Arabidopsis thaliana: one gene and its partners. The protein of the gene in region 3 interacts with the protein of the main gene of each other region in a pairwise test. Each region holds a gene or a part of one and is shown on either strand. Other genes may lie near its edges.

Evidence for each region.
Region 1: the proteins of UBC34 (region 3) and TET2 interact in a protein complementation assay, tested with the Arabidopsis thaliana proteins (one large-scale study listed by BioGRID).
Region 2: the proteins of UBC34 (region 3) and AMT1;1 interact in a protein complementation assay, tested with the Arabidopsis thaliana proteins (one large-scale study listed by BioGRID).
Region 4: the proteins of UBC34 (region 3) and AT1G11540 interact in a protein complementation assay, tested with the Arabidopsis thaliana proteins (one large-scale study listed by BioGRID).

The regions. Positions count from the first base shown.
Region 1 is NC_003071.7:8,470,919-8,477,002, reverse strand, and holds TET2 (tetraspanin2), read left to right. Parts: upstream 1-1,849; 5' UTR 1,850-1,981; coding exon 1,982-2,175; intron 2,176-2,260; coding exon 2,261-2,567; exon of another isoform or gene 2,568-3,398; intron 3,399-4,298; coding exon 4,299-4,610; 3' UTR 4,611-4,869; downstream 4,870-6,084. Other genes in the region: ACO1 (ACC oxidase 1), read left to right, coding at 1-78, 179-764; CDA1 (cytidine deaminase 1), read left to right, coding at 5,500-6,084. UniProt on the Arabidopsis thaliana protein: May be involved in the regulation of cell differentiation.
Region 2 is NC_003075.7:7,854,802-7,862,037, forward strand, and holds AMT1;1 (ammonium transporter 1;1), read left to right. Parts: upstream 1-3,381; 5' UTR 3,382-3,418; coding exon 3,419-4,924; 3' UTR 4,925-5,117; downstream 5,118-7,236. Other genes in the region: AT4G13500 (uncharacterized protein), read right to left, coding at 2,186-2,330, 2,777-2,846, 2,911-3,073. UniProt on the Arabidopsis thaliana protein: High affinity ammonium transporter probably involved in ammonium uptake from the soil, long-distance transport to the shoots and re-uptake of apoplastic ammonium that derives from photorespiration in shoots.
Region 3 is NC_003070.9:5,915,077-5,923,960, reverse strand, and holds UBC34 (ubiquitin-conjugating enzyme 34), read left to right. Parts: upstream 1-3,618; 5' UTR 3,619-3,982; intron 3,983-3,984; exon of another isoform or gene 3,985-4,763; 5' UTR 4,764-4,798; coding exon 4,799-4,855; intron 4,856-5,058; coding exon 5,059-5,113; intron 5,114-5,526; coding exon 5,527-5,565; intron 5,566-5,647; coding exon 5,648-5,711; intron 5,712-5,811; coding exon 5,812-5,873; intron 5,874-5,939; coding exon 5,940-5,997; intron 5,998-6,074; coding exon 6,075-6,102; intron 6,103-6,266; coding exon 6,267-6,358; intron 6,359-6,538; coding exon 6,539-6,815; 3' UTR 6,816-7,129; downstream 7,130-8,884. Other genes in the region: AlaAT1 (alanine aminotransferas), read right to left, coding at 36-101, 190-240, 319-369, 969-1,190; AT1G17285 (uncharacterized protein), read right to left, coding at 2,674-2,743, 2,849-3,246. UniProt on the Arabidopsis thaliana protein: Accepts the ubiquitin from the E1 complex and catalyzes its covalent attachment to other proteins.
Region 4 is NC_003070.9:3,873,784-3,881,077, forward strand, and holds AT1G11540 (Sulfite exporter TauE/SafE family protein), read right to left. Parts: upstream 3,541-7,294; 5' UTR 3,440-3,540; coding exon 2,687-3,439; intron 2,483-2,686; coding exon 2,333-2,482; intron 2,238-2,332; coding exon 2,097-2,237; intron 2,002-2,096; coding exon 1,693-2,001; downstream 1-1,692. Other genes in the region: CXXS1 (C-terminal cysteine residue is changed to a serine 1), read left to right, coding at 735-812, 1,089-1,211, 1,373-1,528; XTH8 (xyloglucan endotransglucosylase/hydrolase 8), read right to left, coding at 4,906-5,314, 5,725-5,927, 6,026-6,126, 6,299-6,503.

The DNA of each region.
Region 1 (6,084 bases), on a different chromosome or scaffold from region 3:
TTGGGAAAGCAGTTTCTTCATCTCACATAAACCAACTTCAAATATCTGTCAGATCCCAAACATTTCAGAGGAACTCAGGTAAAGTAATTAAGAATTGAATAGTACCAAAGGCTCTACCATTTTTACCTGTTTGCTTATTTAACTAAACAATGTGAGAGGGTGAAATTGATATTTGCAGCAAGACGATGGATGAATATGTTTGTCAACTGCACAAGTTTGCAGAGAGACTCTCCAAGCTCATGTGTGAGAATCTTGGTCTTGATCAGGAAGACATAATGAATGCCTTTTCTGGTCCAAAAGGTCCAGCTTTTGGAACAAAAGTGGCTAAATACCCAGAATGCCCACGTCCTGAGCTTATGAGAGGGCTGAGAGAACATACGGATGCTGGGGGAATCATATTACTCCTGCAGGATGATCAAGTGCCTGGTCTTGAGTTCTTTAAAGATGGGAAGTGGGTTCCTATACCGCCATCCAAGAACAATACCATTTTTGTCAATACCGGTGATCAACTAGAGATACTGAGTAATGGGAGGTACAAGAGTGTTGTTCACCGTGTAATGACAGTGAAGCATGGAAGTAGACTGTCGATTGCTACGTTTTACAATCCGGCTGGTGATGCCATAATATCTCCAGCTCCAAAGCTCTTGTATCCAAGTGGCTACCGTTTTCAAGACTACCTAAAGCTTTATTCAACTACCAAGTTTGGAGACAAAGGCCCCAGACTTGAGACCATGAAGAAAATGGGAAATGCGGATTCAGCCTAGGATGCATCTGGAATTTGACGCTTCTGTACTCACATCATAAAAACTTTGTCTTCTTCTTGTGTTTCCTTATAATTTAAATAACCAGCCATGTCAGAATCTTGCTGATTCAGCTATACTACTTCACTCTTCTTTCTTCACTTCCACTTGAAAAGTTCCAAAGCCAAACTGAAGCAGTCTCATCAAGCTCTGTGTCGAACTTGAGATTAGACAAAGAGCTTGTAATCTAAGCTCTAAGATTGACAGTCAATTTCATGATTTATAAGATGTAATTCAACTCTTAACGTAATCCACAACTCCGCCATCATCTCTTTCCATATTCTCTCTGATTTGACTCATTTCCTTCCCAATTCCTAGAATCAAACAAATAGCATTTCTATATCAGCATCTAAAACTGAAAGCTAAGTGTGTATTGACTCAAAATTCTTCTCCAATCGCAATAAAATCGAGATGAGAAAAATTCATCCATATGTTTTGGTTCACACATTCTATCGAGCAGCTTGTGTGCAATCCCAATCCTCTGAACCAAAACAAAAGCTTATCTCTTGACCATTACCCGACATTTCACTCATCAGCCAACGACAAATCCTGCTCCGAAACCTCTAATGCTTGGAAAAGAAGAAAATTCCGATTTCCGAACAATGGAACTTACTCCATTTTGCATTCTCTGTCGAAAGTAACATACGTTCAATGCAAATGACCCAAAGTCGTCGGTGCCACGTGGATAGTTCTCACTGGTTGATGCATTCGGTAACTCGCAGAATGGAAGAATATTAACACAAAAGGCATCTCGCGTATCCACGTGTCCCGTTCAAGATTCCAAATTCTAAACCAAAAGCCGGTCCGACCAGATTAACAAGTTCTCTTTATTACATCACAACCCAAAACTTGTTCAAAACCTAACTTTTCATTGCTAAACATATTTTATTCTGACATTCACATGTTAACTTTAATCCAATATCTAATTCTTTTTTCTTAAAACCACCGTTGTCGAAAAATCCAAATCAGCAAAATCAGTGATTAACCGGACCGGACCAAACCGAACATCGTTTTCTGTAAATAGCAGTAACTGGTTTCACACATCCCATCATCTCTAACCACCGACCTCATAAGTCATTAAGACAAAAACAGAGACACTCCTCTCACTCTCATTATTTCATTTTCTTTCCATAAAAAGCACGAATCTTCAAGAACAAAGAGAGAGAGAGAGAGAAAATTTAATGGCGTTAGCGAATAACTTAACGGCGATACTCAACTTACTAGCGTTACTCTGTTCCATACCAATAACGGCGTCAGGTATATGGCTAGCTTCAAAGCCAGACAACGAGTGTGTCAATCTCCTCCGTTGGCCCGTTGTCGTCCTCGGCGTTCTCATCCTCGTCGTCTCCGCCACAGGCTTCATCGGCGCCTACAAGTAAGAATCAAAGAACTTCAAGACTTTGAAAACATAGACACAAATTGAATCATAAAGATGTAAACTTTGAGCTCTCATATTTCAGGTACAAGGAAACTCTACTGGCGGTTTACTTGTGCTGTATGGCGATATTGATCGGACTTTTGCTGGTGGTTCTTATATTTGCATTCGTCGTGACCCGGCCCGATGGATCGTATCGGGTTCCGGGTAGAGGTTATAAAGAGTATAGGCTTGAAGGGTTCTCGAATTGGCTTAAGGAGAACGTTGTGGATTCCAAGAACTGGGGAAGGCTAAGGGCTTGTTTGGCTGATACTAATGTTTGTCCTAAACTCAACCAAGAATTCATCACCGCCGATCAGTTCTTCTCCTCCTCTAAGATCACTCCTCTCCAGGCATGTTCTTTCTTCTTTTATTCTCTTTTATAAAAAGAACCCCGAAATTTCTAGTTTCCGGTTTAGGTTTGGTTTAGAGGTAAATCTAGACTAAATATCGGTTATGCAACTATGCCAACGAATCATTGTGGGTTTAATTAGATATTATTAGATGATTAATGGAGATAAGATACGAAGTAAAGAGAATGTTTTGTAAAATCTCTAGATTATGTGAGACCTACGGTTTGTTCTTGCCATAGAAAGATAGGTTATTTTTTCTTTCAAAAAGTAAAGTATGTGGTTTTAAATCAAAAAGTTAAAAAATTTCTCTTTAGCTTTTGTGAAGATGTCCAAAAGAGAATTGTTCTTATTCTCTATATTCTTTTTTTTTGTTTTGCAGCTTTAAGTTATTTCGTTTTGGATTTCCTCATCTTTGAAAAAACTAAAAAAATATTTTCTGACTTAATTAATCTTATGTTTTCTAGTGTTGGAGAGAAACCTACATTAGCTTTCTTAACGTTTCGCAGTTAGTGCCATTTTGTGGTAAAACTCATAGATTAGGCATATGTAATCACCATTATTGAACACATATTTATTCCTAGTAGACTGGTGTAGAAGTTGCTGGAGACCAAGTCCACAAGATTATATAGTAAGATAGTCAGATTTCAAAATTATACACTATCATAAGGACCCACCCATGCACCCACAATATGGTACATGATAAACTATGTTTTATCTGTGTATTAATTATATTTTTCCTTTGTCACTATCTCACTCATAAAATTCAATGATCCCATTCACTTTAGATAGTGTTTTTCGTGATCACAACTCAAACTTGACAAAATTTCCTACTTTTTCTATTTAATTTTATTAATTAAAATCACTCTTAAAATTCATTGTCATGTCTTTTATGTCTTTTAAGCTTTAAACATGGAGAGATTAAGGGTGATTTAAATAATTTTATTCCTAAAACTTCTATAGCAAGTTGTCATCCTAGTCCATTGTCACTGTAACAAGATTGGAACCACTAATAATTAAATAAGCCTAGATGCTGAGGTCTCGACTGAATTTTAAATCTTTTAGTCATTAGACATTATTAAATATTGGACCAATGATTTGATTCAATAATTACGATCACAAGTCTTTGTCTCCATCATGAAACATAATAGATAATTATATCCCTCCCATGTTGCCCCACTCACATTATAATTTTTCTTATTGGATAAATTAGGACTCAAGAAAAAATAAGTTTATTTCTAAGAAAGAGTTATACAATTTCTCGTCCTCGAGACAGAACCAAAATTTACTCATAAGTAAAAGAAGATTATTCTGTGATAAGATTCAACATGTTTTTTCATTTTTTTTATGTACTTTCATACCAAGCAAGCAATTTTTTAGGTTTCTTGTAGTCGTTTTATTTTTATAGCTTTCAGACTAAAACTAGTGTTTCATTGTTTTAGGTCTTGACTCTTGAACTCTTGATTGTTTGTGTTTGCCTTTAGTATATACTTTTTTTTTCTCCACATGAACCCATAATATTAACCATGTTAAGCAAAATGAAATTTTTGTTGTAAACACAAAGGGCAGACGCAAATGGTAGCGTTTGTGTTTACAATGTGTAAATATTTTTTACCAATAAAAAAAAAGTGTAAATATCTTTAAGACTATGATTATCATATTTGAAAACATGGTTAAGCATATATTTGGTCAAATCTAATTATGACAATTTCTTGAACATTTGTTGTTTTACAGTCCGGCTGCTGCAAACCACCAACCGCATGTGGCTACAACTTTGTGAACCCAACACTGTGGCTAAATCCAACCAATATGGCTGCAGACGCAGACTGTTACTTATGGAGCAATGACCAAAGCCAGCTTTGTTACAATTGCAACTCATGCAAAGCTGGTTTATTGGGAAACCTTAGAAAAGAATGGCGTAAAGCAAATCTCATACTTATCATCACAGTCGTTGTTCTCATATGGGTTTATGTTATTGCTTGTAGCGCGTTTAGGAATGCTCAGACTGAGGATCTCTTCCGCAAATACAAACAAGGTTGGGTCTAAAATGTGTTTGTGTCTATAAATTTGTTTGTAGTTTGTTGAGATTGGAGTTTTCGGAAATAGCTCGTCATATTATGATTTCTTTGTGTGTGGAAAAGGTTTTTTTCTTTTTATGGATTTTGTTTCTATGTTTATCAGTTTATGTTCGACAAAATGGCACTTATCTATGTAAACAAACAACTGACCCTAATTGGAAAACTGATTGTTGTCATAGAGTTTTCTCAGTTTCTTCTATTAAGAAAAACTTAACCGTTGGTTAAAACGTAATTATCAACAAAGACTTCTCTTTTGGTCTGTGACGTTGATTCCAACGATAAGAACAAAACCTAATCTTTGTTTTCTTTTGTCAACAATAGTACTATCACCTTTGTTCTTAACTATTTTTTTGGGAACTTAAAATTGACAACACCGGAATTAAAATGTTTAATACTATCAAAATTATATGAAACTAAGCTGTCTTTTAGCTATAGTTTAATTCATTTCTGACCTCTAAAATAATATTATCCGGAGATTATTGTAGTTTCGTAACGTGGTTGATGAAACTACTAGGTGTTTTCTTAATTAGACCACGATTTTAACATTACGTTACACTAATACTCTATTGCATTTTTGGTAGTTTTCATAACAATGATTCCATGCGGCTTAGTCAAACCGAAATCATATTATTTGTAAATTCAATTCTGATATAATTTTTCTATTTTGTACCAAACGTAAACCGAAACATAACCGAAACCGAACCAAAACTTCATTTGCGTAATGTAGTTTCCTACGTTGTTGTATCTATAAATAGTTTGTTTGTCCAGCATCCATTTCATAATTCCTCATTTCCCGGATCTCTCCCATCTAAAAATAACCCGACCCATTTACGCGACCCAAACCGGATCAACCCGCAATGGATAAGCCAAGCTTCGTAATCCAATCCAAAGAAGCAGAATCCGCCGCGAAACAACTCGGCGTTTCCGTCATTCAGCTCCTCCCGTCGCTAGTCAAACCAGCACAATCCTACGCTCGAACTCCGATTTCGAAATTCAACGTCGCAGTCGTCGGACTCGGATCATCAGGTCGGATCTTCTTAGGCGTCAATGTCGAATTCCCAAATCTCCCTCTCCACCACTCAATCCACGCCGAACAGTTCCTCGTCACCAATCTCACACTCAACGGTGAACGTCATCTCAATTTCTTCGCCGTCTCCGCCGCACCATGTGGCCATTGCCGTCAATTCCTCCAAGAAATTCGCGACGCACCTGAAATCAAAATCCTTATCACCGATCCAAACAACTCCGCCGATTCCGATTCCGCCGCCGATTCAGACGGATTCTTACGTCTCGGAAGCTTCTTGCCACACAGATTCGGTCCCGACGATCTTCTCGGGAAAGATCATCCTCTTCTTCTCGAATCTCACGATAACCATCTCAAAATCTCAGATCTGGATTCGATTTGTAACGGAAACACCGATTCATCCGCCGATTTGAAACAA
Region 2 (7,236 bases), on a different chromosome or scaffold from region 3:
TGGTCAATATTTGCTTACTAACTACAAATGTCGGAATCAACTTTAGTTCATTTTGGTTCTTATTGCGTCTGTTTTATAATAATCAGGTGTAGTTAAAGCAACTTTTTTTTGGGGCAAATTAAAGTAACTTTCTAATAGTATATATATAGAGAATATTAATACCCAATATTTATATACAGAAAATAACATGTTTAAATCAGCTTCTTCTAAATTTTAAAGTAATCAGTTTCATGAATTTGTAAAAAAAATTCTGCAGTATCATTAACTAGATGTCTGATTAAATATAGTAAAACATGTGTACGAATTATTTAGTTTGTATGGAGAAATATTTTTGGTCAAGCGATTAAAGTTCCATTTTTTGTGGATTTTTTTTCGCTAGAATTTAATTACGAATATTTGTTTTGTAGAGTTAACAACCTAAGAATCGAGATATATCTCGACATCGATGATATAAAGAAAAAAAAAGGTATAGTATATATTTTTAAAAACATACACTTATTGTTTTTAGTGATGATACTGGTAAAACACTTTCATGCAATATTATTGAAATACCACTTCAAAGACTAATTTTCGGTATCGATAGAGTTTTAGTTCGTCGACGTCGAGAAATTTTATATCCTCTTCGATTTCTTTACAGTTTTTATCGATTTTTTTTGTATATACTTCTAATTTTCTTCTCTCTATATGACTTTTCTCTCAATTTCTTCTTTTTCATATCTACTTTTTAAGATATTTTAAAGAGTCGTGAAAGAGCATCCCTTCAATATGCTCATGCCATTGGTATTGAATTCACCAAAAGAGAAGCCTCTCATCAAATAAGTTCTTCAATCCCGAAACTTGAGCTTAGTCTCCAAATCCTTTGAGTTAAGATGTCTTATGACCCTCGTCATTTATAAATTAAACTCAATAAAATTGATGTCTACACTTTGATCGGATTGAACAAGAACATTGTCATGTTCACTTGCAATATTCACATAAGCCTTTATCGGATTCAGTTGTCCGCAAATATTTTGATATTTACTCGATGAAAGATCTGCTATAAGGGTGAATAAATTTGTAATTCAAGCCCCATCACAAATCGCGGTAGATCAACTGCATCTAGCTTGGAAATCAAGAGTACTATATGCTCGTTGACGCCTTCATCAAGACCAAAAGTAAACTGTACATTGTTGCCTCTATTCCCCAATCTTGGAATCTAAATATCTCTTGATCAATTTTTTATGCTTGGTTCTATCATATAGTTACTTTTTAACTTGATGAATTTCCAAACATGTTTTAGGAAAACTACTTTGTGAAAATTTTATATTATATAAATAGAAAAGATAATTTAACGGAAAAGAAACATTAACTTTATAGCATGTGGTATGTGGATATTATGCTCACTCTCAATTAGTCAATTAAGATATACCAACAACAACCTGGTTGAGATATCACAGAAATTATCAATTAATATCTTATAAATGAATTCGAAATATGCTAAATGCAAACATAGTTTTGTAAGTACGTAATTTATAATATATTAATACTCAAATCTAAGACTTACTTTTGAAAACAAAAGAATATCTTGTCAAATTGACACTTTTTAATGTTCAAAAGAGATAGTAAGAAATTTCGCCTAACCAAGAAAACAATAAAAACAAGGAATTTCAGTCTCAATACTATATATATTTTTCTGTTATTCACTTATATATTTGGATGTGATAGAATACTTTTTTAAGAACACACATATCTTATCTTCACCGATATATTAGCTGATACATTTTTTACATTCCTTTTTATTATTATTATTCTTATTTATTTTCTATTCACATGTACTTACAAACAAAAACTTAAAGACTTTGCAATTTGCGTTACGAATATTTTTCGTCAGGCTGTAATTTGAAAAGTCTTCTAGATGATTTCAAGTCTCTGCTTAATGTGCCAACTAGGCTCTATGTCACTACTTTGTGTTGTCTCTAATTCTCATTCTTCTTGACAAGACCAAACATATCACTAATGATGAAGAGATGACTAATATTTGTTTATACATTTGCTTGTAATGAAGACATGTAGTATAGCAAAGCACCATATAATATAGTGATAGCATTCTATTAATTTGTTCTTTTTTACAGCCGAAGAAGAAGAGTATAAGAAACATGTTTAAGATTCAGCCTTAAACAAGTGAAGAAAAAACAAAAAGAAAGGCTCAACGAATGGGAACTTTGATCCAACCATTGGCAAAAGCAATGGCTAAGATGACGAATGGAGTTGACATACCGAATATGATAATGTAAGGAAGAGGCGTCTTCATCGGATTCTCTCCTTCTCTTTCTCCAACGCTTTGCCAATACCTACAAAATTCCAATGCAATCCTCATCCATAACCATTTCTTCAATCACAATTGCATGTTTATGAAAAATGAACATGCAAGAATTTAAGTTCTTTTTCTATTTTAAAAGAGTTTAGTTCTTTTGACTAAACTACAACCCAAATATTTTTATTCTTTTGCTAACACGGATTTGAGTCTGGATATTGATACAATACTAACACAATGTCACAAACCACCAGTCTACATGTCATTGACACATACAAAAAAAAAAACTACTTAAATTCTGCAATGGAGACTAAAATTTTTGTATTAAATTGGTAACCTACATATCGTTTTGTAATTTTCCATGTTTTCATCAATTTCCTAGGTTTGTTTTTCTGTGATTTTGCAAAATTACATTACCATTCTATGAGTTTCTGTTATTTTCTACAATCTCATGATGAAAATTGAGAATTAAGATTAACTTACTGTTCAGGTTCTTCCTCTTTGGTTATAAACTTTTTCTTATCTTTAGGCTTCACTTCTCCATCTCCTCCACCTTATGCAATAACCAAAGATTAACAAAATTTACATCTACAAACAAATAAAAGATATAAGAGTACCTAATTTGGCATGAAGCTTGAATTCTGGGAATCCTAATGGTGATGGTGGACAAAAGAATTGAGGTAAAGCAAGCAATGATGAATATGAAGAAGATGATGAAGTTGAGGAATCACTAGCCCTGTGGCTAAACGAAGAAGAAGAAATTCGAAATTTCGCTGCCATTTCCAACAACTATATGGATGTGATAGAATATTTTTACATTTTATTTTTCTGTTATTCACTTATACATTTGGATGTGATAGAATATTTTTTTCTGAACACACAGATCTTATCTTCACCGATATATTAGCTGAAGCCTGATACATTTACATTCCTTATTTATTTTTTATTCACATGTATGTACTAATAAACAAAACTTAAAGACTTTGTATTATGCGTTACGAATATTTTTCGTCAGGATTGAAAAGTCAACCCTAGGCCTTTAGCTTCCTTCTTTTATATAAACAGAGAAACAAAACACTTTCTTTCTCAGCCTCTCTGTTTCATCTTCTTCTCTAAACTCTCAACATGTCTTGCTCGGCCACCGATCTCGCTGTCCTGTTGGGTCCTAATGCCACGGCGGCGGCCAACTACATCTGTGGCCAGTTAGGCGACGTCAACAACAAATTTATCGACACCGCTTTCGCTATAGACAACACTTACCTTCTCTTCTCCGCCTACCTTGTCTTCTCTATGCAGCTTGGCTTCGCTATGCTCTGTGCCGGTTCCGTGAGAGCCAAGAATACTATGAACATCATGCTTACCAACGTCCTTGACGCTGCAGCCGGTGGTCTCTTCTATTATCTGTTTGGCTACGCCTTTGCCTTTGGATCTCCGTCCAATGGTTTCATCGGTAAACACTACTTTGGTCTCAAAGACATCCCCACGGCCTCTGCTGACTACTCCAACTTTCTCTACCAATGGGCCTTTGCAATCGCTGCGGCTGGAATCACAAGTGGCTCGATCGCTGAACGGACACAGTTCGTGGCTTACCTAATCTATTCCTCTTTCTTAACCGGGTTTGTTTACCCGGTCGTCTCTCACTGGTTCTGGTCAGTTGATGGATGGGCCAGCCCGTTCCGTACCGATGGAGATTTGCTTTTCAGCACCGGAGCGATAGATTTCGCTGGGTCCGGTGTTGTTCATATGGTCGGAGGTATCGCTGGACTCTGGGGTGCGCTCATCGAAGGTCCACGACTTGGCCGGTTCGATAACGGAGGCCGTGCCATCGCTCTTCGTGGCCACTCGGCGTCACTTGTTGTCCTTGGAACATTCCTCCTCTGGTTTGGATGGTACGGATTTAACCCCGGTTCCTTCAACAAGATCCTAGTCACGTACGAGACAGGCACATACAACGGCCAGTGGAGCGCGGTCGGACGGACAGCTGTCACAACAACGTTAGCTGGCTGCACCGCGGCGCTGACAACCCTATTTGGGAAACGTCTACTCTCGGGACATTGGAACGTCACTGATGTATGCAACGGCCTCCTCGGAGGGTTTGCAGCCATAACTGGTGGCTGCTCTGTCGTTGAGCCATGGGCTGCGATCATCTGCGGGTTCGTGGCGGCCCTAGTCCTCCTCGGATGCAACAAGCTCGCTGAGAAGCTCAAATACGACGACCCTCTTGAGGCAGCACAACTACACGGTGGTTGCGGTGCGTGGGGACTAATATTCACGGCTCTCTTCGCTCAAGAAAAGTACTTGAACCAGATTTACGGCAACAAACCCGGAAGGCCACACGGTTTGTTTATGGGCGGTGGAGGAAAACTACTTGGAGCTCAGCTGATTCAGATCATTGTGATCACGGGTTGGGTAAGTGCGACCATGGGGACACTTTTCTTCATCCTCAAGAAAATGAAATTGTTGCGGATATCGTCCGAGGATGAGATGGCCGGTATGGATATGACCAGGCACGGTGGTTTTGCTTATATGTACTTTGATGATGATGAGTCTCACAAAGCCATTCAGCTTAGGAGAGTTGAGCCACGATCTCCTTCTCCTTCTGGTGCTAATACTACACCTACTCCGGTTTGATTTGGATTTTTACTTTTATTCTCTATTTTCTAGAGTATTATTTTAAATGATGTTTTGTGATACTTAAATATTGTTTTGGATATTTTTTTGCATTTCAGTAATGTTTTAGATGTACAGTTTCATGGGGTTGTGATGATAATATCTATGTGGTCATTTGTGTTCTCTTTGGAGTTTTTTCTATAACGCTTTTTTCAAATTTTATGATCATTATTTGCTGCATTCTAGATAAGCAATTAGGAATGTGAAGCATGGACTAAGTAAAAGCCTGACCGTTTTTAAGTTTGGACTTTTGATATAGCTCATACTTTTTTGATATTAGTTCATACTTATTGCTTTAAATAGCTAAAAAGTCTAAAACAAACCTTGCATTGACGCAATAGATATAAATAACTCGAAGTATTGCTTTCTAGAAGCATTAACAATTTGGTAAAACGAAGTTGAACCATTTACTCAAGCATAATAATCAGAAATGACAATCTTTCATGTCTGATGCAAATAAATAATAATTTATGGAAATAATTTCTATGTCTTACATCACTAATTAGACTTTTAGATGCTTGCAAGTTTGAAGTTTCAGCAGAAGTAGGTGCTTTTACAAACTCTTTTTTGTTTTAATTTGATAAAGTGTGTTTTTACAAACTCTGTTTTATTTTATTTTGAAAAAGTGTGTTTTTACAAACTTTCAACCAACCTATTCACGAATCTCTAATTTCATTTGTCCACCACATGAAATAATGTGTTTATTATATTAGTGTTATTTAAACTCAACGATTTTGGAGATTCGTACGTACCTTGTTGCCGCAACTAAAGATTCGGAGTATCACAGTTATTATATTAACAAATGGATTCACAAAGTAGATCGCGAATTACTTGAAAGTTGGAACTCGTGATAATGTTGTCGATACCACTAAATGGCAACTTCGTACATATGTAAAAAAAGTCAGGGTATTTGGGTGCTTTTCAAAAAGATGGAAGCATGACATGAGTGATGAGGCAGCTCCTACAAGTTGGAAAGAAGATATTTTGTCTTTACCTCCAAATTAAAAAATTGGCATTTTTAAATATCAAAAGGTGAAGAAGCCAATCAATTAGTATATTTATTTGTATTTTTTTTTTTTTTTCAATCTCTTTTACAAGTTTTAAGGAACTTAATGGCCAGCACTTTGATTTGATAGATACACACTAAATGAAAAAGTTGACCAGATGGCTCCGGTACTCGGAAACAAATTGCATGGAAATTTTACATAATTAGGTACACACATTTCAACATTTTGAAGAATATATTTGACTGTTTTGATTTTGCAGTTTCAATTGCTTTATGATTTCTACTCGGTTATTTATTGCTTTCCTAAATTTTATTCTGTGTATCTTACTTTATTATTTTTTAGAATTTAATATTTGTTGCTTCTATTCTCAATGAATATACTCAACAGATGAAATAATTAATAAATAATTCCAAACATTTGAACGTTAAATAATTAAATAGTCTTGACCATTTTAATATTTTTTCTAATTGTAACATTTTCTTTAGTATTACTAGGTTATGATTATCATTACACGTTTGGGTTAAATATGTTTTTGAACTTTTGGCGACAGGCGAGTCACTTGTTTTATAAACTTAACTTATACTAATCATTTAACAGGCTACATGTACTTTGCTATAGGTGAGTCATGTAACTGTTTAATTAGCTAGTGTGAATGTGTGATCGACGAAAAAAAAAAATTAGCTAGTGTGACCATATTACTTATACAACAACAAACTAAAAACTTGTCAAACTAAAAAAAGAAAGTAATATATCTGTTTGTAATTAGTCTAATCGTATTAAACTTTTCAGTTTTCACATAATAAAACAAAATTACAAAAATCTGATTATAAATGCATCACTTTTTGTGATTAACAATTTTTTACCCTAAAGCAATAGTAATTATTCTTAAATTTTACAATTCATCATCATTAACAAATCAAAGATAAAAAAATTTAAAATGCTCACTTTTCATTTCTTAAAAAAATTTAATCTAAATTGATAATCATTATCTACTCGGAAGAAAATAATCGAGATGACAACGGCTTGGTTCATGTGTGAGCCTCAACCACCCCCTCTTTCTCCGTATTTCCCTAACATGTCTTCACGAAAATTTTATAATGATTTATAGAAATAATTCTGTGTTGTCATATATTATTGGAATTTTCAATGCTGGAAAGTTGCAGCAGAACTTGGCGTTTTACAAACTTTGAACCAACCGAACAGGAATCTTCTTGTCATTACATGCAATGTTTATTTGATTCAACATTATTTAGATAACCGAACGAA
Region 3 (8,884 bases):
GAACAAACCAGCACTATAAAAGCTCACTTATTTACCTCTCTGAAGAATGTTATAGGCTGTTGACCAAGAGATTGAGGATTCCCGATATTACAGTAGATAATCTGCCAAAAACATAGAACCTTGTAAGCTTCACTCATGAAAAGAATCAAGCTTGAAAACACGAAAAGGACTAAACCGATTATAACGTACCTCATCAAAGGGATAAGCGTCCTTGTTAGTCTTCAAATCTTCTTGCAATTTCTGTAAGATGGAAACAGAAATCAAAATGAGCAAAACAGTCTCCACTAGAAATATACAATCAAGGACAAAGATGTTAACCTGAGCAATGTTGACAATTTCTCCACGGACAGCATACTCACATTTGATAACCTGAGAACCCCCAAAAAGAAACCATATTGTTAGAATAAAAAAAACCAAACAAAACATCAGTCACTAAAGCTAGATTTAAGATGCAGAACTGTTCCTCGACAATAAACTATTCAATTGTAAAGTATGAGCTAATCACAAGGAAGAACAAAAATGAAGAATTCAGAAAGCAACAGACTTTTTTAATATACGCAAAAAGCTGAAGAACAAAATGGATTCTAAATAGTCCTATAAACAAAGGATCACCTAGTAATATAATACGTAAAAGAAATAAATCCATCAAGGGTCAATGATCAAGATGCGGAGACGAGGATACGAATCATAATATGCATAAACTCGAAACATGATGCCCAAAAAGAACACAAGCAGGTGATCAATAAACCCTAAATCAAGTACAGAGCAATCTCGAAGAAATTAAACGAAGCTCTTCACTTTACCAAATCATAAATCACAAAATTTCATCGGAGTATAAAACAAAATCAAAGCTTGCAAAAAGACACAGATCAATCGAGGAAACATAATCCAAAACACAGAACACAAATCACTAACAAACAGCAACCCAAAAAGGCGAGAATAAAGGAAAAATTAAGAAAAAAACGGACCTTGGGGTTGATGGTGTCAAGAGTAACGGGAAGAGAGGAAGAGGAATCAGAAGCAGACATATCGGAAGAAGAAGAAGAAGACAAGTGGCGCGATGAAGAATCGGAAGGAGCAGAAAAAGGAGGAATAAGAGAGACAAAGCTGAGATTTTTGTGATGATGAAGTTGACGACGACGACTCTGATCTATGAGATTTTTAGCTTGGCCAATCACGAATCTCCGCATTTGTGATTGTGTGGTATGGGATTTATACTAAAAAGCTTGTTGGCTTGTTTCTCAATCTAAATTTAGATTTCGATAGTTTTGCTCGAAAGACGAAACTTCCCAATTCCTGTCTTCTCTCTCTCTCCAATTCACACTGATTTTGACATTTTTTTGTCCGTCCACGGATTTAGAATTTATCTTGTTTTCCTTTATTTTCAACGGATTTCTTTAAACCCTTTTCAACGAATATTGAATGTCTTTCTTTTTTTCTTTCTTACCAAATACTCTGTCAAAAGCCATCTATATATTTATCTTTTCAACGAAAAATCAATCTAAAAAAAGAATGTAATAAACGTAAATGAGATTTTTTTTTAATTTCAAACAAAGGAATGAGATTATTATTATTGTTTTGTTTTGTTTTGTGTGTTTTCAATCCATAATCCGTAATCTCGAGTCTTTTAGCCGTTTATGATATTTTCTTAGTCAAAAAATTTGTCTAAAGAGAGGTCGTAATAAATGAAGGTGGTTTTTTCTTCTTCTTTTTAATTTAGTTTGGTACTAATAATAATAATGAACAATTAATTGGAGATAAAGAACTTCTGGATCGTGGATTATTCAGACAAAACCATGTGTTTTATTGGTCGGAGTCGGCGCGTAAAACGCTGTTAGAAATTGGACAAAATTTGGCCATTATGGGCCGAGTTACGGTTTAGAGACTCTCTTCCGGCCCAACCGGTTCGTGGGAAAAATTCATCATATTATACATGGGATCAGCAAAACGACGTCATTTTGGCGGCGGTTTTCTCAGCGTTTCCTAATAACAGTAATATTATTATACATGGGATCAGCAAAACGACGTCATTTTTGAGTAATGTGTTGGATGCCACTTTGTTTCTTCTTGGTCCAAAAGTTTGTAAACAATCTCAACAATCTGTATCGGTGTTTTAGAGAAGTACAAACTTACATGTCAAAAGGAATCTAGTGCTCACAGCTGTGATTACTTCTTTCATTGTTGCTGTTTTGCAGTGAGGAGTAATCACTGGATATCGAGATAGGCAGCTAAATAGTCAGGATATTGTGAGGTTTCCTGCAGAACAACTTTCAATTTTTTACGGATCTGAGGATGCATTTTTGAAGCATATAGAACCGAGAACATAGATAAAGAGGTTGATCATTTTATATTTAAGGTTTTAAGCACCACTGAGAACAACATGCTATGGCTGAGGATAAGTCTGCTGAAGTCAAATAAAAGAAACCACAAAGCAGAGAAAAGAAGAAGAACTCAAAAGATTAAAGAGGTTGAGAATAGTTTTGGAAAGTTAGACTACTCGAGCTAGGAGGCGTTTTAAATTTTCATCCTATCTTGATCGATCAATAAGATTAAAAGATGAGTTCATATATTTCAAGTAGATTACAGCATTAAAAGCACACATGTCTAGGTACCTATTCTACAAAAAAAACGAAAGTAGAGGATCTAAATAAGGACAAAAAAAGAACTGGAATTTTAAGGTTTTCTTGATGTTGTGATCTGCTGTTGTTTCCTACTTGCTTTAACATCTACCGGTGGATTACACCTGATACAAAAAGAAACACTTTTTGATGTCAATTACACCTAAAACTCATCTTTGGGGATACATAAAAAAAAAGAAAAACTAGATTGTGTCTCGTATCTTCTTTACTTGTTCTGTATAGGGTTTGAGCCACTCCTTGGGATTCTTCTGAAGCTATCATTTTCTCCCTTAAGTGGCTCTTTCTTCATCTCCTTGCTTACAGGCAAATCTCTCACAGCTTGACTCGAATGTGTCATCGTTAACAGAGAACGTCCTTCTACACTATACTTGCTGCTAAAGAAAGCTACAAGTAACAGAACCAGAGCCACTGAACAGCATCTCTTCATTCTGAGTTCTCTTCTTGAAATTTCCTTTAGGACTCTTGAAACCTCTTGACTTTTTCTTGTTCTGTTTTTCTGTGAACTGAGAAAATCTTGGATGGAGATGTGTGTTAGAGAAAAGAGAGACGAGAGACTTCTAAAGCTTGTTGGTTTTATAGAATAAGATTTATGTGTGTTTGAACACATAGTTATTGGGATCTGATCACGTGATCTTACTTTGACTAATGCTATTTAATCAGATGGTGAGATACTTATCTTATTCTTAATCATTTACTTACGATGATGATGATATTCCTCAAGCATCTACATTGAAACAATGATACAATATCATATGTAGAGACAAAGATCCACATATTCACATTACCTAACTCATGTAACTGCTTTGAAACTAAGAGATGGTGGTCATGTGATTAGAGCACGTGATTTCTGCCTACTGTTATCGGGGAACTCAAAAGAGGCTGAAACTTAACTTTATTGAAATTATTTTTTAAGCATAACTTTGGAATTTGGAGGTATTAGTGTAAGTCCAATTTCAGAAAAGAAAAAATTGCAGGTAACAGCTGTTTTGTCTCACTACTAATCACTAGTTTTTTTTCTTCTTCTGCAGCTATTTTTTTTATATTTCATGAAGAGAAGGAAAAATTGATTCCAAGAACCGGCACAGATTCTTTGATGAGTGGTGGAGAATAAAGAAATAGGGAAAAGTGCATTACGCAAAATAATTATTAAATCATTGATCCTCTAATAACGAACCGGAATGGATTATACAATACCGGTCTAACTTGTGTTGAATTTTGTTCGGTTTAGATAAACCAAGCGCGAGTTAGGCTAATTCTTTCTCTCTCTACCCGCGGAGAAGGAGAAAGTGAGATTAACGAGAAACCCCAAGAGAGAAAATCTTCATCGACAAAATTCGATTCAGGTGATCAATTTCTTTCATATTTTCGCAATTATTTCTTGGATCTGATGTTATCTACTTTGGAATTTCTTCGCTGCATTATCTTTTGATTTGTTGTTCTTGTTCCTTTGCGTTTCTGGGTAAGAGCGAAGCTTGAAATTGCAATTGGAATCTCTAACAAGTTTAAGACTTTGCTTTGATACGGTTTATGTGGAAGTATCTGTGATTTTCTTATATATTTATGGAAGATATTGCAGCTGATTCGAGTTTGGTTTGCCTATCATTGTTGCAATTTTCTCGGTTCAATCAAAGGATTTTCTAGGTTGATATATAATTCCAGGGATTTCCAGATAATTTCCTTTAATTTGGTTGGAATTCGATTGAATTTTCGTTGCTTTCAATTGGTTTGCAGTGATTTGGGTGAAAAGATTTTTCCAAGCTCATGGAAATTGGGGATTTTTATTCAAAGGGTGTTTCTGGTGATCATAGAGTTGTTTGACTCAAGTTTCATTTGATCTTGTGTGTATTTGGTTGGTTTTTCTTTTCAATCAGGTCATGAAAGTATTGCATAATAGCTAGAAGTATTGTTATCTCTGTATATGTGTTGTGAGATAGTACAATTGGTAAAGTTTCCATATCAATGGCACGAAAATCAACTGCAATTTACTCGTTTCGATATATGTTTTTATGTAGTTCATATATGTAATTCAGACATAAGGGTTTTATGTAGTCCATCTCATCAGTAGGTGGACTTTCACTCATATTTGTATTTCGTTTTGTTGATAATGTTAAATGGGTGTAACAGCTGCTGCAGCTATTCACTTCGTCCATAGCACGTAGATGGCAGAAAAGGCCTGTATAAAACGTCTTCAAAAGGAATATAGAGCACTTTGCAAGGTACACTCTCTTTACTTGTTTTTCTACCTCTCTCGAGCTGGAACCAGGATTCCATATTTTTATTGCTCAACCAGTTTTCTCTGTACTTTCAAATGATGCTGTATCTATATGTGAATGTTTTCTTGGTTTTGGTTTAGAGTAAGTTTCATATTTTCTTTTGTTTCTTTGGGGGTTATTTAATATGTTCTGTTTTTGGCCTTTAGGAACCAGTCTCCCATGTTGTTGCTCGTCCTTCCCCAAATGACATTCTCGAGTGGCGTAAGCCTTCCCTATCTTTTTTTCTTAATCTTTATTCCTGCTGGCTTCCTGTAATCCTGTTGCAAGCGTTTCTATAAAGATGTTATGATAAGTATATATGATGGACATATTTGCTACACTTGTGAGTATACGTTAAACTAAGAAAAAATGGGATACTACGATCTAAGTAGACAGAAGAGGTCTCACATTACTTTGATGGAATAGTGAAGACTTATTTATCAAAGGTTTATATGTACTTACAATGCATAGATTTGATAGTTTTCTTCTCAATTGTGAAAGGCTGTCAGTGTTACTGTTAGCCTGATAGCGGTTAGGGAGTTTCAGTCTTTCTATTATTACTGCATTTAGTATGTTAAAAAGGGTAGCTTGATCTCTTACTAAAATAGAGTTAAACTATTGGATTAATCTTACAGATTATGTGCTGGAAGGCAGTGAGGGAACACCTTTTGCAGGTGAAAATCTTCTTTTGAAAGTTTCTTGTTAGTGTTGTCTTACGCAGTATCTTATTTTTGATACTAAAATTCTCTTTACCAGGTGGATTTTACTATGGAAAGATCAAGTTTCCTCCCGAGTATCCTTACAAGCCACCAGGGATTACGTATGTTCCAATGGTTCCTCCAAATTCAGTCTCAACATTACTCTTACCTCATTTTTTGTCCAGTTTTTTAATGAACCAAATCTTTTTCTGTTTGCCTCAGAATGACTACACCAAATGGTCGATTCATGACACAGAAGAAAATTTGTTTATCTATGAGTGATTGTAAGGACAATCTGCACTTTCTGTTCATTATTTCGTATCAATTAACTTGTCTAATATCGAAATAAGTTGACATGGCATTTACAGTTCATCCAGAAAGCTGGAATCCGATGTGGTCTGTATCAAGGTATAGATTCTTTCTTTACTTTTGGAAGATGACAATCGATATACCCGTTGATAACCAACTTTTTTTCATGAATGCAGCATACTTACAGGACTTCTCTCATTTATGGTAAGCTCACTGTAGGTTCTACATATTTATGGACATCTTGTTTGAAAATTCTCATATTCTTATATTGTAATGGTTTATTAGCTTAGATATGAATATTCAAAAAGGAAGTCTATTTTTTCTTTTCTGTTCTCAAGCTTTCTCTAAACGTTTTCCTTGCGGCGCAGATGGATACCAGTCCGACAACTGGAAGTGTTAACACTACTGTAATTGAGAAACAACGGTTGGCTAAGTCATCTCTCGCTTTCAATTGTAAAACGTAAGATTTTCCCATCATCAAAAAATTTCAAATTCTGGATTCATATAGAAGCTAAGTTTAGTTATCTGTGGTTAGGATAGTCATAAAAGCTGGTTAGATAACGAATATAGGAATGAATGCAGTCCTGAGATTACATGTTTTCGGTATTTCACCTGAATCCAATGTTCTTACTTGTGACAGCCCAGCATTTCGAAAGCTATTTCCAGAGTATGTAGAGAAGTACAACCAGCAGCAACTAGCTGAGCAAGCTACCACACAACTGACAACACCAGAGTCTCCTCAAAAGAGCGATACCAAAGTCGAGTCAGAGAAAACCATCGATCCAACAAAGGGAGATTCAGAAGGTGGCTTGAAGGAGAGGAAAAAGAACAATAAACAGGGATTGCCAGCGTGGATAATACTGTTGCTAGTGTCGGTTTTCGGTGTGGTAATGGCGTTGCCTCTGCTTCAACTGTGATTTCTATGCAACAAACCTCGACCTGGTTTTCGTATAATCTCTCCTTGTGTCTCTCTCTCTTCAGCATCAAGAGTAGTCTCCTTTTGTCTAGTGCTCTTCGTCTGAATTTACTCATTTAGCACCTCATGGTTTGTGCTTGTAAAAGCAGATAACATAAGTTTGGTTTCACAATTACATACATATTGTAGCTTCGTTGGAACTACTTTGTATAGTATATATGAATTGAGGATAATGGTTTGGATTTGAAAAATAGAACCGTATGGTTTTCAAATTGTACTTCTCCTAGAGCTCACAGGTTAATTTGTCAATTTATGTAAATACTCTGGTGTAGTAACTTGATGAAAACAGAAGTGACAGAGAGAATACACAGACAATAGTGAATAGAATTGTTAGGTATATTGGGCCAATTAAGCAATTGTCCCTTTAGGCCCATTGGTAAGAAAAGGAAAAAACCATACTTAATGATAAATTAAAACCGGTATGGCTGTACCGGTTCAATCTGTCTTCAACCACCGACGTTGACTTGTTACCAATCTTCTTCTTCTGCTCGAGTCCAGTCCAGTGAAAGTGATTATGTTTATGGTTAATAATGTTAACTCTATAATTTAGTGGGAAAAATGTTATTTAATACCTCAACTTACAAAAAATGGTCAAATTAACCGTGAACTCGTGAAATGGCCGTTTTAACTTTCAACAAAAAGTTGACTTCTGTTTTAACATTCAAGTTTGCGTTGACTCGGCCTAATTAACCACCGTTAAAATTCCTTCTAACAGCGTAATTGACAGACGTTACAGAACATCCGTTAAGGTGATACGACGACGTTTTGTGCTATCAACAGACTTCAAAGTCGACGAAACCTCTGAAAAATCCCCAAATCAAAACCCAAACCCTAAAAATCATTTTCTCTCAAATTTTTCGATCAAATCTGCATTATGAGCTGCAACTCAAGGAATTCGAGTGGTGAAAGTGGAGGCTGCAATTCAGGAATGATTTCGAATGCTGAAGCTGGAGGTTTCAAGAGCCGTGGGTTTCCTGTTAAGTGTAAATGTGGGCTCGACGTCGTCATGTTTACATCGAGCACGGCTAAGAACCCTGGAAGGCCTTTCTTTCGGTGCAAAAGCTGTGAAGATGTAAGTAGATTTGATATGAGAATGTGATGTTTTTTGTGTTTGGTCGATAAAAGCTTGAGATGGAATTGCAGGATCATTTGTTCAAATGGGTGGAGGATTGTATGTATGAAGAGGTTATAGATGCTCTACCCAAAATCTCCAGCATTGATAACGAGATAATCAATGCAAAAGCTGAGGTTGCTGTTGAAATTGCAAACTTAAAGGAGCTAATGATAGAGTTGAAAGAAGATGGAATGTGGAGCAAAAGAGAAATTCAGAGATGGAAAAAGATGACGAAAGTGTGCTTGGTGTGCCTTTGTTTTAGTGTGATTGCAATTGTAATATCAATGTTCTATAAGAAAAAAACCCAGAAATTTGTTCTTGGTTATTAGTGTGTAATCGAATGGGAGCTTAGTTTGAATGTGATGTCTTTGTTGTTTCTCTTGTTGTTGGTCTTTGTTGTTTAGTTTGTGTTTGGTTATGCTTTTACTATGTAATGACATGTAGCTTTGGTAATGGTAATGAATTTCATTTGAAAGAAAAGGTCAACTTCTTAAAACTGAGACTAAGCTAATCATATAGAGAGACAAGTGCAAACAACAATAAGTAAAAAGACTTAGATTATGTCATAAAGACAAGTTCAAACAACAAAAACAAACCGAGACTAAACATATGTCATAAAGACAAGTTCAAACAACAAAAACAAACATGAGACTAGCTTATCATGTTCCACGAGAACATTCAAACCATGGTGCAAGTCCAGCAAGTCCTTGCGATTGTGCTTCTCCTTGTGGTTGTTCAGACACTTGTGATGTTCCACGACCTCTTCCCCTCTGTCTTTGTGCTCCACGAGTTGTTCCCCTTTGTCTTTGTGTTCCACGACCTCTTCCTCTTTGGCTTTGTGTTTGTGACCCATTGTTCTGCCCTAGTGAGCCATTGTTCTGCCCTTGTGACACATT
Region 4 (7,294 bases), 2.0 Mb from region 3:
AGACATAGAAAGAGATTCATGTTCCAGAATTATTAGTCTTGAGTAAGAGATCTTGAGTTTTTAGTCTTAATGCTTATTAAAAAAAAAAAAAAATGTTAGACCACCAATGATGTAAATTTTTAAATAGGTGATTGCATCATTGTGTAAACCTAATATTTACATTTTGAAGGATTTGGTCTTTCTGCAGTATGTAAGTTAATTCAATCCCCTTATTATTCTGACTTGTAAGGGGATTCAAACCCCATCAATGGTTTCTAAACTTAAGTTTCTTATTTTAGAGAGATAAGTTTTATTATAAAAAAATGTGTGGGTTTTTTGATTAATGAAGAAACCATCTCCAAAATACTTTATATAAGAAATTTTGGAGAGAATTTCTAAATATTTAAGAAACCCACATAATTAAATAATATTATTTTTGTTGTTTTAATGTTAAGAAACTTATATTTAGAAACCACCAATGAAATTCCTCTAAACATTAACATTGCATATAGTCATAAAAAAAATATCTATTTTCTTTTTGGTTCTCTTTTTAATATAGCTTTCTTGGTCAACACTTATTCTTAAATATCTTAGAAATTAATAAATTATTTCGTAACTCGTTGAAAGATAACTGGCCACACTTTTTGTGTATGACTCAGACATAGTTTTTGTCCACTCGGTCCCATCATGCAAGTAGATAAACACTGAATCACCAAATCTTGTTTGAGATTTAGAAAAAAAGGAAGCTCCAAGAGATGGCAAGAGTTGTTAAAATCGATTCTGCAGAGTCATGGAATTTCTATGTGAGTCAAGCCAAGAATCAGAATTGTCCCGTAAGTCTCTCTTCCTCTTATCACTTTCGTTTTCTAGTAGCCAAAATGAAATCTGATTTAGATCCAAGACCTATGAAAGAATCAAGATCTTAGGATTAGAGTTTTATGGAGAATTTGATTTACAATTGGTTAAATCCAAATTGTGTTACTCTTTAAGATATGAAGTTAGTGAGAATGAACCATGAATATTAATGTTCAGGATTGTGAATGAATGGCTCTGTCTTGTTTGTTTATATGAATTACCAAGAACGGTTGTTCCTTTATGGTTTTTTGCAGATTGTGGCTCATTTCACTGCATTATGGTGTATTCCTTCTGTGTTTATGAACTCCTTCTTCGAAGAGCTTGCGTTTAACTATAAGGATGCTCTGTTTCTAATAGTTGATGTTGATGAAGTTAAGGTAAAACTACTTATGTGTCTCTCTACTTGATATGTCTTTCTACTTTGGCTTCTTTGTTGAAGAGAAGTGTTTAACCATCAAGAGTAAAAGATTTAAACAGTTGCTAAATTGGTAGATGATTAATGGTTTTTCTTTGTTTTTTACTATGTTGGATTGGTCAGGAAGTGGCAAGTCAACTAGAGGTAAAGGCGATGCCAACTTTCTTGTTCTTGAAGGATGGTAATGCGATGGACAAACTCGTGGGCGCAAACCCTGATGAGATTAAGAAACGGGTCGATGGTTTCGTTCAGTCCTCACGTGTTGTTCATATTGCTTAAGAGAGATTTATAGATACGAGCAGAATACTAAATAAAGTTTGTGTGAAGTGTAATTAGTTTGTAACTTTGGTATTTGGTTTGTGTGAAATATCAAGTGTAAGTGTAAATTTTTATAAAAGCAAGTTCTGTTATAAACAAGAACTGGATTTATTTAATTTTGGTTCTTAACAGGGTAATTTGAAACCCATGTAGCGACCAGAGACAAAATCATTCCAAACATTAAAAGCTCCATGGGTTGTCATCAGTACAGTGCTAAGTGCCATGACGATACCAACTGCAAACACAATGATCGAAGCCCTCCCATACTTGGCTATAACCTTCTTAACCACCATTAGTCCAACCAGTGATGCCACGAAACAGACCAGAGCAAATATCGCAGCGGTTCCAGCATGTTCCATGCCTAGTAGTAGGTACTGGATTGCAGACATTGATGAAGAAAACAAAACCATGAACGAACATGTAGCTGCAGTTACCTGTAGAGAGAGCACGATTAACTTAAGAATCCAATTGCTTGTTTTGGTAAAACTTTGGTTCTGATGCTGCTAGAGAACAAGACTCAAGAACGTACCTCTGGAGCAATACCGATTTGGAGAAGAAGAGGACTAATGAGCATTCCACCACCAATACCAAAGAGGCCACCCAAAACTCCAGCCAAGAGAGCCATTACAGGGAGCATCAACTTGTTTTGTCTTCCTCCAACTCCAGTCTCCTGTGGAGTAATTTCAGTTTCATATTCATCAAACCTGTTGACTTTTGACCAACAGAAAAGCTAATTTAATCAACAGCAAGTAGTATGTATTGGACCTGTTCAGAGTTTTGGTTACTATGCGATGTGTGGTTGCTTTGAACATTGTCACTGAAGTAAATGCAGAGAGTAAAGAAGATAGTGAGAGGTATTTGAAGCGAGGAGAGGAACCAGTAGAGAGCTCCACATGGCTTGATCGATATGATTCCCTGTGCAAATCCAAAGTATATCAACTTCTTACTTCTACATGCCATTAAGATTTCAATAATTTGGAAAGAATTATAACACTTCAAGGAACGTTCAAATAAGTGGAGGGAATGTGGAAACAGAGCAATGAGAGCATTGAGATAGAAAAATATTCAAATCAATCGACCAAAAATCATAAATACGCGTTTAGATACTTAAATTCATACCTGACCGTATTTGTTTCCGCGGAAAAGATTAATAGAGAAGAACAATAACCAAATGATCACTAAAACTCCAAGCTTCATCCATGGAAACCTAATCATCCCTCTCTGTCTCACATCTTCTCTTTCTTCACTCAGAAGCGGCGATCTCGCTACCTCGATGCCATCAACGTCTCTTGGACTCTTAATCTTCGCTCTTTCCGACTCCAAATTCCAGTAAGAAACTCCCTTTTTACAAGTCTTCATCGTTGACCAGGCGAGGAACACAGCGAAGAGAAACAACACAAGCCAATTTGGGAACATACGGTTACAGATCACACCAATACTTACTCCGAGAAGTAGACATGGCTGAATAGTAAGAGCTAAATCGAAGTCGATTAGGGTTTTGTCTCTTGATTTAGGGTTTCTCAGGAAAAGATTGCATCCCACGTTAGCGAAAGAGACGCCGGTTACCATGAACGCTGAGAAGCTTGAAGCTGTTTTCATTTCGAGACCGGCGATGATTGTCATTATCGAGAGGAAGAGTCCACCGCCGCCGATTCCTCCGGCGCTGGAGATAGAGGCGGCGAAGAACGAGAGAACGGCGGCGATTATGGTGGGGATGGAGACTTCAATAGTTGATTGGCTGAGGTCCTCCGAGAAATGGAGCCATTGGCTTGTTGTGCTGCGGATTTGACTCTGGTCTGCAAGGGCGGATGGATTGAAGATGGTGAAGATGGTGATTAGGGAGAGGAGAAGAGGGACTAAATTGATCGTCATTTTCTTTACTTAGGGGGTTGTTTGTAACCTTTTGAAAGTTTTGGGGTTTATTTTTGTTTGGAACGTTAGAAATTTTATGCTCATTTATTGTTTGGTTTATACTTATATATGAATCAATAAAGGGTTTAGTCAACTGCAATTCTAATACAAGGTATTTATTACGGAATTAATTAATTTAAGACAATTTGGTGAAATAAAAAACTAAAGATGACAAATGCAATTATTTTTCCTATGTTTTTGTAGATCTAGTAGTATTATTTTTATTGAAATATTTATTCAAAGGAGCTTCTTTCCCATATCCTCTAGATTTGTTTTTGTTTTAGGTACTTGTAAAAAGTGGTAATAGCATTATGTATTTATTAGCTGAAAAAATAAAGACTATGGCACCAAGTTATATTTGTCTTTCTTTTACATATCAATTTTTGGAAATTAATTAAGAGAAAGGGAGAAAAGTTTGAATATTTGCATACAAGTTTGGAAAGAAATACTTGTGCTATGTGTAAATGTCCTTTGACTATCAAGACGAGAAATGGGCTAGAAACATATATGGGAGACAAGTTCTAGAGGAAAAATGATGTTAGCAAGCTTAGTTGACATTGTGGTTCAAAGTAAGTTTACGAACATATTTAATTTATAGTGTGTAAGAAAACGTACTATTTATTTTATCCCACCAGTATGTCATATTATTATTTTTATACCCAAAAGTGAGGCAATCGTAATAAAATGCAAGAAATTCAAAATTGTCAATCAAAAATGAATTGTTTTTCAAATTAAAAATGCGATAAATAGTGTTCATCACTTGGCACGTAAAAGGTTGACTTTTAATATCGGAATGAATCCGGACATAACACATGTCCAACTTGGCATATTTAGCAAACTTGGACTATTTATTAGAAGATAGTGTTTATAGAAGAAATGTACATTAAAAAACGGTAAATCGCTAATCCTAGGCCTATCCTCACGATTGTGATGTAATGTAACCCACTTCCGTTGATTTCTTCAAAGAAATCAAAAGTTGTGGGTTCTTCTAGAGATGCTACTACTACAACGATCGATGGACGATTGTCATTGATGTTATCGAATGGTAAATCGGACAAAAGTTTCTGGATATGCTCTCTTATAATATCACAATCACAAATGCTATTTCTTTTCAATAAGGTATTTGGGCTTCATTAGTAGCTGTAGCTGAACCTTTTGTTTGTCACATGTCTTTACTCTTATGCTCATCCATGTTCGTTTATATTTTTGACCCACTGTTCTGTTCTGAGACCTTAAGTGTAAGAAGAATTCTCAAGTTAATATACATCTTAAAAAGCAGTTATGAAATATAGCCGACTAAATAAATAATTAATTAAATAAATAAACAGAGGATATAGTCCATAACAAAATAAGAAATGCCAAAAAAAAGAGAGTAAAATTATTACATAAACCATTTCCACTTTAATACACTCAAAACAAAATTGATTTTAAGCCCAAGGGCTAATGGAACACTCCCAAGGAAGAGTAGGGAACCTCTCACTGTCTTTGCAATAATCGTATACGACGAGATTACGCTGCACCCACGCATAATCCATCTTCTGTGTCTTGGACAAATGCCACGCGTCGTACTGATCCCACCAATTCTCTGTTGTGGTAGAGACGCATGCAGGGAATGGATCCTTCCAACGGCAGCCTTCGACGGCGAAGTCCTTGTAAGAAGAGACGAATGGAGCTTTTTTCCAGTCAGTCTTCTCCAGACCACCACGTGTAGCCCAATCGTCAGCGTTCCAAATGCTGGAGAACAAGTACATCGGCTTCTGGTTCGGGAAGAAGTCGTTGTTTGGTACCTTATCACTGTTCTTGTATACTCGAATTGGTACCCTATCCACGAAGAACCTGGTTTGGATTGGATTAAACCGGGTTATGCATTGTACCAATCGATAAAATTAGCTTTGATTGACCAATTCGGTTCGAGTTGGTCTAGTTTGAGTTCTTTAAAGTTTGGTTAAGATAGGCTTGCTTTGGTCGGTTTGAACTTTAAACCAGATTGGAATTTTTGTGTCGGTCGAAATTTGAATCTGCACCATTTAAGTTTTCTCAAAGCTAAACGTAAGAAAACAGGATTGAACCTATTGTGAAATTAATCTGTAAACTGAATTATGTTATTGTGAGTGGAATGTTGGTTCTAACTTCGAACCGATCATAAACCTAAGGTTCCGGTTTCTACCCAAAATTCCCGGTACAGTTCGTGGTATCTCTATATATGTAGCCAACTAACCATTAGCCAAGATCAAGAGAGGACTTACACAAGCTGGTGGTTATTCCAAAGAATTGAGTAGGTGTGATAATCCTTGGTCGGGTCGAACCAGAGGGAATGTCGCATCTCCCGATTCCCGGTTCCGTTCTTATACACATTGGTCTGAATAATGTAAGGCTGTCCGGTTCGGTTCCCTAGAAATTCGAAATCTATCTCGTCTCTCTCCGGTCCTGCCCCATTCTCCGAACACATCTGCTCAACCAAATTTAATCTAAAATAATTAATACAAAACAAAATCATTGGTTATCTTCTTTACAAAATTGAAACATTAAATAAGAACGACGGCTCACGTAGTAAGCGGTGACGACGCCGGCGGAGTCGCCTCCGACGAGCTTTAGCTTCATACTAAACCATCCGAATCTATACATGTGCTTTGTCTGAAATCCACATCCTGTTTTATTTTTTATCCAATCAGAATATTTAAACTTTCGATATAATAATCAAGAGACTAAGTTAAAAAATGTCATGTAGATTTAAGTAGGAACAGAGTAAGTATCAGTGTAATTTCGAAAGACTAGAACGGCATTGATCCTAAACCGGAAGCAAACTGGATTTGAACGTACCGGTGTCGTTATCTAAGGAAAGATTCCAGATCTCTCCATCATCGGAAGTCGTGAAGTGATTTTCAGACCACATAATGTTGAAATTATCTTCAAACGATTGTGTCGGTGTTGCTGCGATAGAGGACGACGCCATTAGAGCCGTCATGAACAAGAACAGAGCCGTCATGGCAGAACAGCTCGTTATGATCCTCCTTTCCGTCTCCATTGGTTGTCTCTACTTCGAATATTTCGAAGAGAGAGAGAGAGAGAGGTAATGCAATCTACACTTGTTCCGTGAGTGAGAAGAGTATAGAGCTTTCTTGCTTTTATTATAAAGACCGGGGAAATGACTGTTTTGACCATTAATAATTCTTTTAATATGCTATTGCGTTTAGACTTTTGATACGGTTTTTTTTCTAAGATTTTCATGTAATAATGATGTTTACGATAATTTGTAAAAGAAAGCAAAAAGGGTAAATGAAAAAGTTTAATTAAAGAAAACTAACAGTAAAACTCAATGATTTTTATGTTAATCAAGTGTAAACTGTTTGGTTATAATACACACGGTTTAGCTAATTAAAAGCCGACCGGTTTATTCATTAAGTTGCTGAGATAGGTCATTTGAACCATATTGATGAGCTAGCAAGGGTACTATAGGAAATATAGAAAACAACAGCAGAACATGGAGAATTGGATCTCCAGGCTGCCACCAAGTGGAAGTGGGATCCATAGAAATGTTCATGTAAAAGCAAAACCAAAAACATTATTTAACTCTGTACTTTAATTCTTTGGTTAATCTTCACTTAGTAAATCTGATATGGGAATATGTCTAACAAAACCCAAATAATATAGGCGAACATGCTTCGGAACATAATATTTTGTTCAACAAAAGAAAGAGTTTGCCTTGCCTCTCTCATATTTTGTTAGCCCAAGACAAGGCACGTGAAACAAGCACGTTATGAATAAGAAAGCAGGGAAATAATACACCTGGAGTTACTAAATTATTAGGTTGACAAA